Schizosaccharomyces pombe: one gene and its partners. The protein of the gene in region 3 interacts with the protein of the main gene of each other region in a pairwise test. Each region holds a gene or a part of one and is shown on either strand. Other genes may lie near its edges. The genes, in order: saf1, prp19 and dre4.

The links.
Region 1: the proteins of dre4 (region 3) and saf1 interact in a two-hybrid assay, tested with the Schizosaccharomyces pombe proteins (2 studies listed by BioGRID).
Region 2: the proteins of dre4 (region 3) and prp19 interact in binary tests that used the Schizosaccharomyces pombe proteins (3 or more experiments, as listed by UniProt).

Annotation. Positions count from the first base shown.
Region 1 is NC_003421.2:1,652,057-1,656,086, reverse strand, and holds saf1 (splicing-associated factor Saf1), read right to left. Parts: upstream 2,240-4,030; 5' UTR 2,212-2,239; coding exon 1,375-2,211; 3' UTR 505-1,374; downstream 1-504. Other genes in the region: poly(A) polymerase Cid12, read right to left, coding at 1-418; trm44 (tRNA (uracil-O(2)-)-methyltransferase), read right to left, coding at 3,307-4,030.
Region 2 is NC_003424.3:5,131,271-5,135,842, reverse strand, and holds prp19 (Prp19 complex subunit, ubiquitin-protein ligase E4 Prp19), read right to left. Parts: upstream 2,621-4,572; 5' UTR 2,602-2,620; coding exon 2,544-2,601; exon of another isoform or gene 2,504-2,543; coding exon 2,399-2,503; intron 2,060-2,398; exon of another isoform or gene 1,914-2,059; coding exon 610-1,913; 3' UTR 501-609; downstream 1-500. Other genes in the region: srb6 (mediator complex subunit Med22), read left to right, coding at 10-420; rRNA exonuclease Rrp17, read left to right, coding at 2,905-3,008, 3,049-3,154, 3,202-3,603; RNA polymerase I upstream activation factor complex subunit Rrn5, read left to right, coding at 4,118-4,572. UniProt on the Schizosaccharomyces pombe protein: Probable ubiquitin-protein ligase involved in pre-mRNA splicing. May also function in DNA repair.
Region 3 is NC_003424.3:424,007-427,917, reverse strand, and holds dre4 (splicing-associated factor Dre4), read right to left. Parts: upstream 1,941-3,911; 5' UTR 1,889-1,940; coding exon 1,849-1,888; exon of another isoform or gene 1,813-1,848; coding exon 1,596-1,812; exon of another isoform or gene 1,555-1,595; coding exon 576-1,554; 3' UTR 503-575; downstream 1-502. Other genes in the region: nuclear membrane protein Tht1, read right to left, coding at 1-335; pre9 (proteasome core particle subunit alpha 3), read left to right, coding at 2,695-3,441. UniProt on the Schizosaccharomyces pombe protein: Component of the spliceosome involved in mRNA processing.

The DNA of each region.
Region 1 (4,030 bases), on a different chromosome or scaffold from region 3:
TTCTGCAAGCTTTGTCATTTCCAAACGTCAAATCCACCCCAATTCCACTAACATCTACTAAATTGATGCGAGGGACTCTGGCACTAGAATGGAAATCAGCATCAGCATCCAAGTACTTTCTTAAAACCATGGTGACGCGTCGTTTCTCCAATTCTCCAACTCGAGGTGACTTCAAAGATACGTCTACATCACTTATAGATAATGTTGTTCCAATATACATGCTACCGTATACTTGAAGTTCAGCATCCAAAACGACCTCCCTAATGTGAGTCTGTAGTTTCTCTAACAAAAGCTTTCTGTACTTCAATTCCTCGATTTTCGGGCTTACGAACTCCAAAAATGAATAAAGTCGAGCATTATCACTCAAACCTTCTTCATTCCATGGTACTGAATGCAGCTCTAACAGGACTTTACCCATTCTTAAGAAATGGCATTTTGGCTAATTTTAATATCAATGGATTCAATTTCATGGCTCCTCGCACATAACGAGGTCGTGCGAGTGCCTTGTAATTATATGTAAATAAATCATTTTATAGCAAAAAAAAGTATCACGAGTTTTTAATCAATAAATAACTTATTTGTTTTTATAAATAATAGAATGATTGACTGCAAAAGCTTCCTAGTCTCATACAGCATTTATAGCGAAAACCAAAGATTATGAACCCAAGAAAAGCAAGCAAAAGATAGATAAGTACTCCCTCATCTCTCATTGTGCAAATTTTAACTTAAGCATGTGTATTTCGATTTTTAAAGGTTTCCTTTATGATATTTTTATTTGATAAACGAATTCGTTGGTTTACGCATGTAAATACTGTCATGGCGTCTAAATACATATGAAAATAAAATAAAATTAATCCAAGTAATTAGTCATGTACTTCTTTCTTTTTGGTAATCTGATTCGTAATGAACAGTGTAGGACTAAGTGTAACAATCATAATTTAGCAAAAGACAAATTCACAAAAAACAGTCAACTTGAAATAATCACGGAAAGATGAATATAAGGTGTTTTTTTGAAATCCCCTTTCGCTCAAGCAGTGTAAAAGTGACTATAATAAGGAATTATTGAACCAAGAAAACATTAATAAATATCATGCAATAACACAGAAACAAAATCTCCTTTGTTTTTTTTGGACATCAAAAATTTGAAATTATTGACCGCATCATAATAATAAGCCTTTGAATTAACTTATGAAAGCTCACTCATAATTGAATAAAACAAAAAAACAAGTACAGAGATGCAATCAAGCTCCTTTAAAATTGAACCTAGTAAACAGATATTATATATAAATTAATATGCATGTTTATTAACTAAAAATTCCGTCTACACCCATTTGGTAATCCTTACTTCCAATCTCCATAATTTTAACGACTTTTTTATAGATATCCGCCAATTTCTTTGTAGAAATTATCTATTTCTTCATCCTTGTCTTCCTGAACTTGGCTCGATACATCCCTGTCTGGCTGTCCAATTTTCTGCCCCTTGGCTAGTTTTTGTCGTTGAAACGCAGCAGGTAAAAATTGAGCAGCTTCTTGTCGTAAATCTCTGACTACCGGCTGAGCTGAGTACTCAATCATAGTTTCCTCTTCAATGTCCTTCGTATTTGCAGCAGCTTCTGTCGTAGTAGTGGATTTTGGTTGTGCTGAACTTGCATTTATGTCTTGCTTTTTGTGGTGCTTTGGCTTAAAGCTCTTATTTTTCTTTTCCCTTGGCTTTGGATCCTCAAAAGGATATTCTTCAGAAGGTAAAGGTATATCAATAACGGATTCATCTGTTTCTGAACTTAGTTCTTCCTTCTCACGATAAGGCATTCCTGGCGGCGGAACTCCGTAAGGATTAAATATTGGATCATAATATATACTTCGTTTTGGGTTTTTAGGGATAAAAGGCTTTCTAGGTTTATGTTGACGTTCTGCCTCCTTAGTCTTGTCTGACTCAACACGCCCAACTCTATGTCCATGAATGTTTTTCTTCTTCATAATTGCCATATCTCTTTGCAAATTTTGTAATAATTGCTTGTCATGTGCATTTAAAGCTTGCGAAGATTCTAATTGTGTCAGCTCTGATAATTGGCGTTCCATTTGGCTCATATTCCTATGCGACAGTCGTTCTTCATGGCGTTTTGCTCTTTCTTCTCGCACTTTAATTTGTTCTCTTTTTTTCTTCTTTCTGCTCTCCGCTTGAACGGGATTTAATCCCCGTTTTGACAGCATTCTGTAGAGTCAAGTATAGTATGGGTTTAGAATGGTGGTGATCAAAAACGTGACATGTATAAAATATTTAGGCAAATAGACAAAGAATAGTATTAAATTGGTTTGAGTAATCGACCGTTTACATTAAATTTAAATAAAGAATAATTAGTAATGTTGAAGTTGATGAGCTAAAAACTAAAGTTAATAGGCTGGTAATTAATTGTGTATATAGAGTATGAGTCAATGATGGAATTTCAGAATCTTTTCGTTTAAGTATATTCTACTGTATTAGCAATCATTTAGTAGAATTGGGCTTTAAAACGTAATTATTTTTCTGGCCTTGCATTTCAAGGCTTCCATTTTTGACATGTAAGAGTTGGCTATTTAAGAAAAAGTACTTACTCATTGAACTTGGCAATTGTCAAATATTTGAAATATGCATACTCCTTATTTTAGTGATATTTTTCAGCTTGACTTCCCGTTTAAAAAATGAATTACTGCTTAGTAGAGGGAACATTTATGATGGAAGGTGATTTATAGTCGTGGATTCAACAAACAGTAGCAAAGTTCGTTGAAAATAATTAAATTCTTCTATGTCACTTATTAGTAGACCCAAAATCAACAGTTTACGTTACAACAATTGATAGGTTTTACGCTAATCAAAAACATATTGACAACCATCTACATTACAAACGCGTTTATGAACCAATCACATATAGTTTTATTTTCTTGTAAACATGAAAGCATTTTATTAACCATTAAATCTTGATCGATAAGAGAACAAACAATTTTGCCATTTTTACGAACCAAGTTCCTCATCCGGAAATCCGTAAGCTTGGCAGATACAATGGCTGTTCCATCTTCACCGAATCCAATAACCGATAGTCATCGAACGGCCAGTAAGAGATTACCAGCACACGAACTATATCAATTTCAGAGGATGGTGTTAGTAGTAAGAAAAACAAGCCATCATTTGGGACTATAAACATCTAAAAAGCAGTCACTCAACTAACGAACTTTAAAGCATTTAAAGTTGAGTAAGCGAATCAAGGGCAACTATCGAACTTTGTCCGTATGGCAGAATTCTATATATTAAAAAAATGGAAATTTTTTGAACTAATGAGACCGAGAATTAGCCGCTGCAACTTGCATAGCATGGACAAAAAACCCTTGTGAGCCATGATTTTTTTCTACGATGTCGTACAAAGCATCGGTGCTTAAACTGGAGTGCAGCAGATCATTCGATAGTAATTTTCTACCTATAAGAGCGTAATTTCTGGTGCTAGGAATGCGTAGTGGTTCAACCTCGATATTCCAACCTACCTCCTCTGACAGCTGCATGAGCCATTCAATGTACATGGCGTATCTTCCTCCATGTTTGGGATTTCGAGGTTTCGGTAATGCCCAGGAAATTTTAGCACCTGTCAGATCATGAACGCAACAAGGAATCGACATGAAATAGCATTTCTGATTTAATCTTGCTAAAATGGGAAGATAAGGAGTCAATTCATCCGCATGGTTTCCGATAAGGAATGAGTTTTCAGAAAATCGACCGTCATGAATGTTTGCAGCGGACATAGTGAAACCGGCAGGCAGCTGAGGAAATGGAATCTTTGTTTCAAAATCATGCAGAAAATAGGGTACAAGAACTTTTTCGTATAACTTTACTTGAACCCAAAGGGGATATGTCTCCCATGATTTTCTTTTTCTAGCGTCGAAGCCATATCCATTATAGCCCTCCATTAACAACAGATAAACAAGTAAACCATTTCCGCAACCAACATCAACAAAACTAAATTCTTTGTTTGATGAATAAGTTTGTTTCCACAATTCTATAAGA
Region 2 (4,572 bases), 4.7 Mb from region 3:
AAAGCTAGTATGTCTTCAGACAGTTTCCAACGGCAGCTAGTTCAGCGAACTAATACTTTAAATTCGTCTATTGACAATGCTACACTAACTATTTTGTCAAGGTTTCAAGACATACTGGATATTGCTATAAATGAAGGCAAAGATAAATATACGGTAGCACCAGAGGTTTACCAGATTGAATGCCATACTGTGTCCATGGTTCGCGCGGTAGAACAGTTACTGGATGTTTCTCGACAAATTAAATCATATTGGCTCACTAATTCTCTTTCCACGTCTTTTCCGACTGTCGATTACAGCGAGCCTGATCTTGAGAAAGTTAAAAGAACTCTTACTAAACTACAAAATCATTTACTGGAAGTCAGTTTAATTGAACCAGAAGCATCAGAAACAACTGAGGCTCCCACTGTTTCTGACACTTGAGTTAACTCACATAAATTATTTTTTGCCAATTAAACCAAATGTCAAAATTTAATGATACATCTATCTGAAAAATAATAGTTTGCCTAAATATTTCATTATGAAGGAAATCACTTAAGTTAAAGAGCCAAAATCTTACTAAATACGAAAAGCCTAATGGAGGAGCACATAATTAAAGGATTAAAAATTGGGTTAACCCAACCGGAGAATGGCTCCATTTGAAGTACTAAACAACAACTGGTGTAACTCATTTAACCAAACCAAATTAGAAATAGAGGAAACATGGGTTTGACTCATACATCTCCAAGACTTTGAAGATTTGACATAAATATGTACATAGAGAGTCTCCCCATCCGAACTTACCAAAAGTTGACTAGTAATATCTAATGACACTGCTGCGACTTTGGTTTGTAGGGGTATTTTTTGAACAAGCTCAGATTTTCTTAAGTCCCAAATGAAAATGTCAGAGTCATCATTAGTTGTTACTACAAGCCAATAACCGTTTTCACCAAATTGTAATGTTTTAACTGGACTTGAATGTGGTCCAAATTTTGTAAGCTCATTTCCCGAGGAAGTCTCAAAAAAGCGTAACTCGCCATTCTCTAACCCAGCGACAAAGAGGTTACCGTCCGGATGTACAGCAAGAGATGTAATGTGTTGAGCAACGGTGATATTATAAACCTGGGATTTCAGGGAGAAAATATAACACTTTTCGTTTGATGCTGCTAATAAATATTCCCCACTTGGATGAGCTTGAAGGAAGTTCACCTTTTCGTCTATAGGAATGGACGAAGTAGGTTCACCCACACTTTGTAAACCAGATGAGGAAACAGGAAATTCAAAAATTGAAATGGCATCAGCAGTAGCGACAGCAATCTTGGAAGAAGTCAACCAACAACACGCTAAAGCTGATCCTTCAAAAATTTTGAGAGTACTGTTGGATTGGATATCTAGACATAAAAGTTCATCCTTATGAAGACATAATACAAAAGAAGAATTTTCAGGGGACGGGAAGAAAGACGTAGTGCTTTCTGTTTCCAAATTTTCTAAGATAGTAGAAGGAGTAGCTTGCAAGAGCTGACTCACAGCATCGTCAGTCGCCCATTTAGGTTGTAACTTTGTACGTTTCCTTTTGGAAGAAAGTTCTTGAAATGTTTTTTCCACCGTAGAGCGTAAGCTAGTTTTAAGCTGGTCATCACTTTCGCCCATCTCTACCTCTTGTACTTCAATAGTTTTCGAGGAAACAGTGCCTATGTTATCGGAAAATTTCGCCAATGCTTCTCTAGCTTCGTCTCTTTCTTTGGTAAGCCGAGATATAACTCTTAACGCAGCATCTAGCGAATACAATGCCGTTGATAACTCCTGCTTCGTCTCTGTAAGATTTCTTCTAAGTTCAAATTGCTCAAGCGCGACAGAATCCCATTCTTCTTGAAAGAGAGACAGCAATGCAGGCAATGAAGTGGCAGAAGGAGGTCGAGGTCTAACAAAATCAGGTACTGTTTAAAGGTTAGCAATTATCTTCGATTTGATTCGCTTTATATGTGAATGGTCAGTACAATCAAAATATAGTAAATATAAATCGCATTGGAGAGCAAAAACCAAAAAAAATCTAAAGTATTAATACATTTTCCTCAACAACTCCACATTAATTTTGATAAAGATTTGTTTTGATAAATCCGACAAGGTTGTTCTATAATTCTCTAAAAACCTTCCTAATTTCTGCCCCGAGATATTGACATGCACTAAATAGTCCACTTTTTAAGGAGAAATATAAAGCTGTAAAATTAAAAAATTTCGAGTACAAATCAATCATGCAATAAAATACATTATCAACAAAAAAAAGAAAATAAACGAGTTCTTCAACCAATATTGCAGGGTTTTACTTTCCAAACCAATTTCAGAATATTCAGTACTCCACGTATAAAAAAATAAGTGCTACTTGAAATTCTTAACCATTCAATAATAAAGAAGGAAATCTTACCCTTTACAGGAACCAAGTCCTCCAACGTGCATTCCTGTTGAGTAACAGGGTCTTTAGACGTTTCACGAATAACTTGTTCAATCAAGCGCTTCTCGTAAACATTTCCTACATTCAGTCAGACAGGGAAATTATTGTACAAACATACCACTTACACGAGAAATCACCGGTTCTTTTGGCGTTTCTCCACTGATTGAGCAAAACATTCGGCACACGTTGGTTTCTGTGTGTAATAGCTAGAGGAAAGCAATGCATAGCCAACTAATCGTTTACTGCACTATACCAATATCCGTATATAATATAAGGCAAATGCGATGCATTTTGCAAATAATTTTCTAGTTAGTAGTGCAAATGTACGTACAAGGCATAGTAGGGTTTCAGTACCTCTCGTCTTCATAAATCTACTGGACCATTACGAGACTGGATAGAATTGGAGATAATTTACTTAAAATCACTACAGATTCCCATAAATTGTCCCTCTCTTCTAGCTACTCACGAACTGTTGCATCATGGATAATACATCTCTACTAACCCGTGGAGGTGAGATTTACAGCAGGAAGAAAGGGAAGAAGCAAAGATTGGAGGAGATCGTCTTTGATAAAGAGAAGCGAAAGTATGGATATCATAAAGGGATTGCTACTAACTTGTTACAGAGAGTATTTAACTGGATTTCATAAACGCAAAGTTGAACGACGAAAGCATGCTCAAGTTCAATTGGAGCAGCAAAAACGCGAAGAACGTTTAGCGTTGAGGAAATCTGTAAGTTTTTCTAATACTATCTTGAGTATATCACTAACACTATTCAGCTCAGAGAACAGCGCAAAAGAGAACTGGCTGAGCGATTAGCATTCTCTAAAGAGTTGAATAGCTCGCTAGAAAATGATGAAGAATCTTCACAGCAAGAAGATTCCTCATCTAAATCTGACAGCGAGGAAGAGTCATCAATGGAGCCTAAAACTACTGAGTATGACGAAGATGATAAGCATGTTACGGTAGAAATTGTAGAGGACGATGATGATGAAGAAATTGCTTATCCTAAAGAAGGTTTTGTCACGCCTCGTATTTCTCCTCCACCAGATGTTCCTTTGCGTCCCCACAAGCCTAAAAATGCCGCCAAAAAGAAATTTCGGTATGAGAGCAAATTTGAACGTACACAGGACAGAAGAAAAGAAAAAATACGTCGTTTAAAGAAGAAAATAAGACGTTAAATTAGGAACTTCAAGCACACGTTGTTTGACGCATCTTGCCCTTTTTTTATATTTATGAATATGGTTGGTATAAAATGATATTTGAATTCAATTGTCCATTCGTTTTTCAGGTTGAGAATTTTTGGAAGTTAACAAACTACTTTACAAGAGATCATTACATATACGGAGTTTTTCTTGGTCTGATATATGCATTTCAGCCTTTTTCAATTTTTTGTTCACAGTTTTGATTAAGGTGTTTGTACATGCGCAAAAAATTTGTACTCAATAAGCGGTAAGCTAGATTTTAGCACGATTTATATTTTTTTATTATGTTTAAAACCCGTAAATTTTAGAGATACTCTACATTTATATATTCCTTTGGATTTTAGTATATTAGCGAAATTCACTAGAATACCGAGTTTGATCTTTGTCAGAACACAAACCACGTCTGGTAATGTGGTAAACAAAAAAATATTAAAAAGAAGACTGCAACAGCTTTTATTTCATTAGCGTTGATCATGTTCTCAATAATAACATGTCTTCTTCAATAAACGGATTAAATGAGAGTGAAGGGTCAACGCCTTTAAGCACTGCATCTATCATTGGCTCAAGTGAGCAATTGTACATGACTCATGATGAACGATACCTAGACGTCCTTCAACAATACGAAGTTGAGACTGAAAATAAGCGTGACTTTGATTTGGAAGAAGAACAATGGGGCGTTCTTAGTGGCTCTTGTGTGGATGGAACTTACTGGAGTGCAGAAGAAAAAGAACTGTTTTTTCAAGCGGTTGCTCGAAATGGGAAAAGAGATTTAGATTTGATAGCTTACTCCATTCCTTCTAAAAGCGCTGTGCAGATCGAGCGTTACATAAATGCCTTAGAGAATGAGCTACGTTGGCTTCGTAATCACGTAGACGCATCCGTGCGCAGTCAATGTTTGTTGAAATATGAAGATATACCTATTGCAATGGAAATGAGTCAGAATTG
Region 3 (3,911 bases):
CGGCATAAGTGATTTACATCATGAAAGTGACTAGTGAATGAAAGCCACCAGGTAGAAGTTGACTCCAACTTCGATACACATTCACTTTGCGAGCCACGAACGCATTCTGAAGGAGCCAAAATTTGAGACCGTTCAAAATCGCAAAGAGTCATTTGAATGGCTGAGTGAATTCGATTATCGATAGTCAACTCAGTATTCAATAAGCTACATTTGGAAATTAAAGTTGCAGCAACTTCCTGATAGCAAGTGGATTTTTTCAAGAGTGCTTGATATACGTGAGCTAAAGAATCAAAACCGGCTAACCCCTCGGAAAAGGCCACATTCGAATATTTCATAAATGATTCTACATCTCCGGTAGACTCACTAGTAAAGAAAAAAGAAATAATAATAAAAAACTCGAAATATAACCCAAAGGACGCGTCGGATGAAATTTCATAATTGTAGTAGATGGTAAACAAAGAAACTCACCCGTCGACAAACTACTTGCTTAAAAGAGTACGCGAAAAAAAATAATTTTTTTCCAAATAAATTAATAAATGAGAAATTCTCTAAGCACCTATTTAATAAAAAATTCATTAATTACTTGAACAAGCCAAGGAATCCAGTTCTTCACGCGTCAGTACGGCATATCGTGTGTCATTAAGTATGCTTTCTGTGAATTCGTCGGGGTTTTTAGGATCTACAGTTTTTGACTTGCATAGCTTTTTAAAATTTAACAGTTTGTCCTGCATAGGCTGTTTTCGTAGAATCTGAAACTCACGGAAAAGTTTCTCAAAATCACGTTCCGAATATCCTGGAATTTGAAGAGTCGACGACTTTCTATATTTACGTTTAAATTGAGGCCATAGCAAGGTAGATGGAAGTGAATGAAGCAAAGTCCAAAAATCCGATAAGGTATTTTTTCTACGCGTAATTTTTTTGGTAGAAACCACCGACTTGCAATATTCCTCAAACACCTCTTTTCGTCTCTCTCCCGAATCTAATACGTAAAAACGATCATCGTCTAATAACTTTGGATAAACTAGTTCCCACGGTTGGTATGCCCCGATGTTTTTGTCCTTCAAAAGTTCAGTAAATACTCTTCTAGCATCATCAGTAGATAAATTTGTAGCTTGTTCCTGTATATCATAGGAAACTGTTTCATCATCCAATTGTTGAAGTTGATACATAATATCTTCCTCACCAAACTCCAACTCTTCAGCGGAGTGTGATTTTTCCTCATCCTCTTCTTCATCAGATTTTTCATAAAATTCTTCAGAATATAAAACGGATTCCTCCGATGATTCTTCTAAACCAGAGGGCTCTTCAATCTCTGTTTGTAAATGCCTAGATTCATGTATTTCTTCGTGGTTGGTTTTACCACTATCAACGTTCTGACTCTGTGAGGAATCTTTACTGATTTGCTTCCGTATCGGAAGACGTAATATCTTCAAGTCTTTACTAATTTCCAAAGGAGGTTCCCAATATGATTCATGGCTTTTTAAATTGTGAAAGAAATACCGATTTTTCTTAGTAAAAACAACCACCCATGAATCATTATTAGGAATTCTTTTTCTAAAAAAAAAGTTAATAACAAAATTTTACGCCTCACATACTTGAATTTTGGTCTGTCCGGTAATTGTTTCCTCAAATCTCGAGAATTTTTGCGCTCTTCAGCATTTTCATTAACAAACAGCTTTTCGCTTGTGTTAAACGCCAAAGAAGCTTGCGAAGCAGTAACAGAAGATGAATGGTTTTTCTCAATGAAACTTGGGCGCTGGTAAGTGCTTTTTTTTAACTCGGCATTCCAGTAATAAGGAATCCCACTGGGTGCTATGAGTTAGCAAATAAACTGCTCATTAAATTTACCTTTATGTTCAGTCCATCCAGGAGGCAAAGGCTGTGACATTAAGATATGTACAATCAAGAAGTTAAGTTCGACACTATGTTAGGTAGTATTCAGTGGGCGTGTGTGTGAGAATAGATAGAACAGTTTTGCAAAATCCAGCTGAATAGTTATGTCAATTACAAAAAAATTTCTACAAACTATTAAAAAAAATCTGTATAAATTGCATAAATTCATAGGTGTAGTTAACATTATTGAATATACTACAAAAACCTCATAACAGCACCGCACGTAGCGTCTTCCCAAGTATTTCCTTTAGAACAAATAAGAAGTTAATGAAATGGTCTACCAAGTACAATATAATAAAACATTTTCGAGAACTTCAATTTTAATATTGTCAATTTACAACAACCCGCATAAATTTACGAGCAATTCATAACTCGTGGTAAATCGTTAAACGGCAGGCTGGAAGTATTTGTAAGCAGCTACATTTTTACACTAGTATTGACTCCTCTGGTTCAAATATTTTTACAAGCAGATTTTAATTATTAGCAACCTACACTGATAACTTTATATCTTGAGGATATGAAAGTACTAAAGGTAAATTGATTATCGTAAAAATAGCTCTCATTTATAAAGACATTTGTTGTACAGCATAGCTTGTAAAAATAAGCGGATTAACAACATACTAATTTAAATCATAATAGATTAATTGTATTAGAAGACAGGTAAAAGTCAGTCCTGTTATAGTAGTGTAGTAAGCACATAAAGAATAAAGCAAGTGTGGTAATCGCACTTCGGTAGACCTCATTAATGTTCGTGATCTAGTGCTTCGCGCATTTTCGAACTTGTCATCAACCAAATTCATTATGTCAAGAAGCTACGATTCTCGCACGACTATTTTTTCACCTGAAGGTCGTTTATACCAGGTTGAATATGCATTGGAAGCGATCAACCATGCTGGCGTTGCTTTAGGGATTGTAGCTAAAGATGGAATTGTTTTAGCTGCTGAAAAGAAGGTTACCAGCAAACTATTAGAACAAGAAGAATCCGCAGAAAAGTTATATCATATAGGAGACAATATGTTATGTGCTGTGGCAGGGCTTACCGCAGATGCAAACATCCTAATTAACTACGCTAGAAGGGTTGGGCAACAATACTTGCAGACTTTTAATGAAGAGATGCCTTGTGAGCAATTAGTTCGTCGCGTTTGTGACCTCAAACAAGGTTATACACAGTATGGTGGGCTACGTCCATTCGGTGTTTCATTCTTATATGCTGGATGGGATCATATTCGTGGATATCAGCTATTCCAATCTAATCCATCTGGAAATTACGGAAGCTGGCAAGCAAATAGTATCGGAGGAAATAGTACTAGTGTTCAAAGCTTAATGCGACAGGAGTATAAGGATGATATAAACTTAGATGAGGCTTCTGCTATGGCCGTGAAATTTTTGAGTAAAACGTTGGACAGTAACTCCCTAACTCATGAAAAAATTGAATTTGCAACAATAACAAAGGATACCACGAAAAACAAAATGGTTTGCAAAATATGGAAGTCAGATGAAATAAATGAAGTGCTCAATAAGTACCAAGAGACCCAGCGGCAATCTTAATATTGCCTTACTCAATTCATTGGGAAAACACTTTAAGTGTATAGCTGTTTTTTATAGCTTTCGTCGTTACCCTTTAATCTCCTTGTAATTAGCTCATGGTTTTTGTAAACAATTTGAAGCAAACTAAGTTCCATCATGAGCCTTATTCCGTCTCAATATAGGCTTGCTTTCTTTTTATCTACGCTAAATCATTATCTTATGAATTCTTATGCCGTTTTAAAAAAGGCTTTTTTCAAGTTTCTTTTATACTTAGACCTTTCTTTCTCATTCCCTTCATAACGTCAATTTCTACTTGAGTACACCATTCCGGCATATTTAAAATTATAGTATTTCCAATGGAATGTCAATGACTCTCATATGTTCTAAACTATATGCTTAGTTTTCATAACTGAAGATTTTAAACGGTGTAGCATATTCCAATTCTATACTATTTATAAAAATAAGAGAAAACTTTTTGATGAGTATTATTA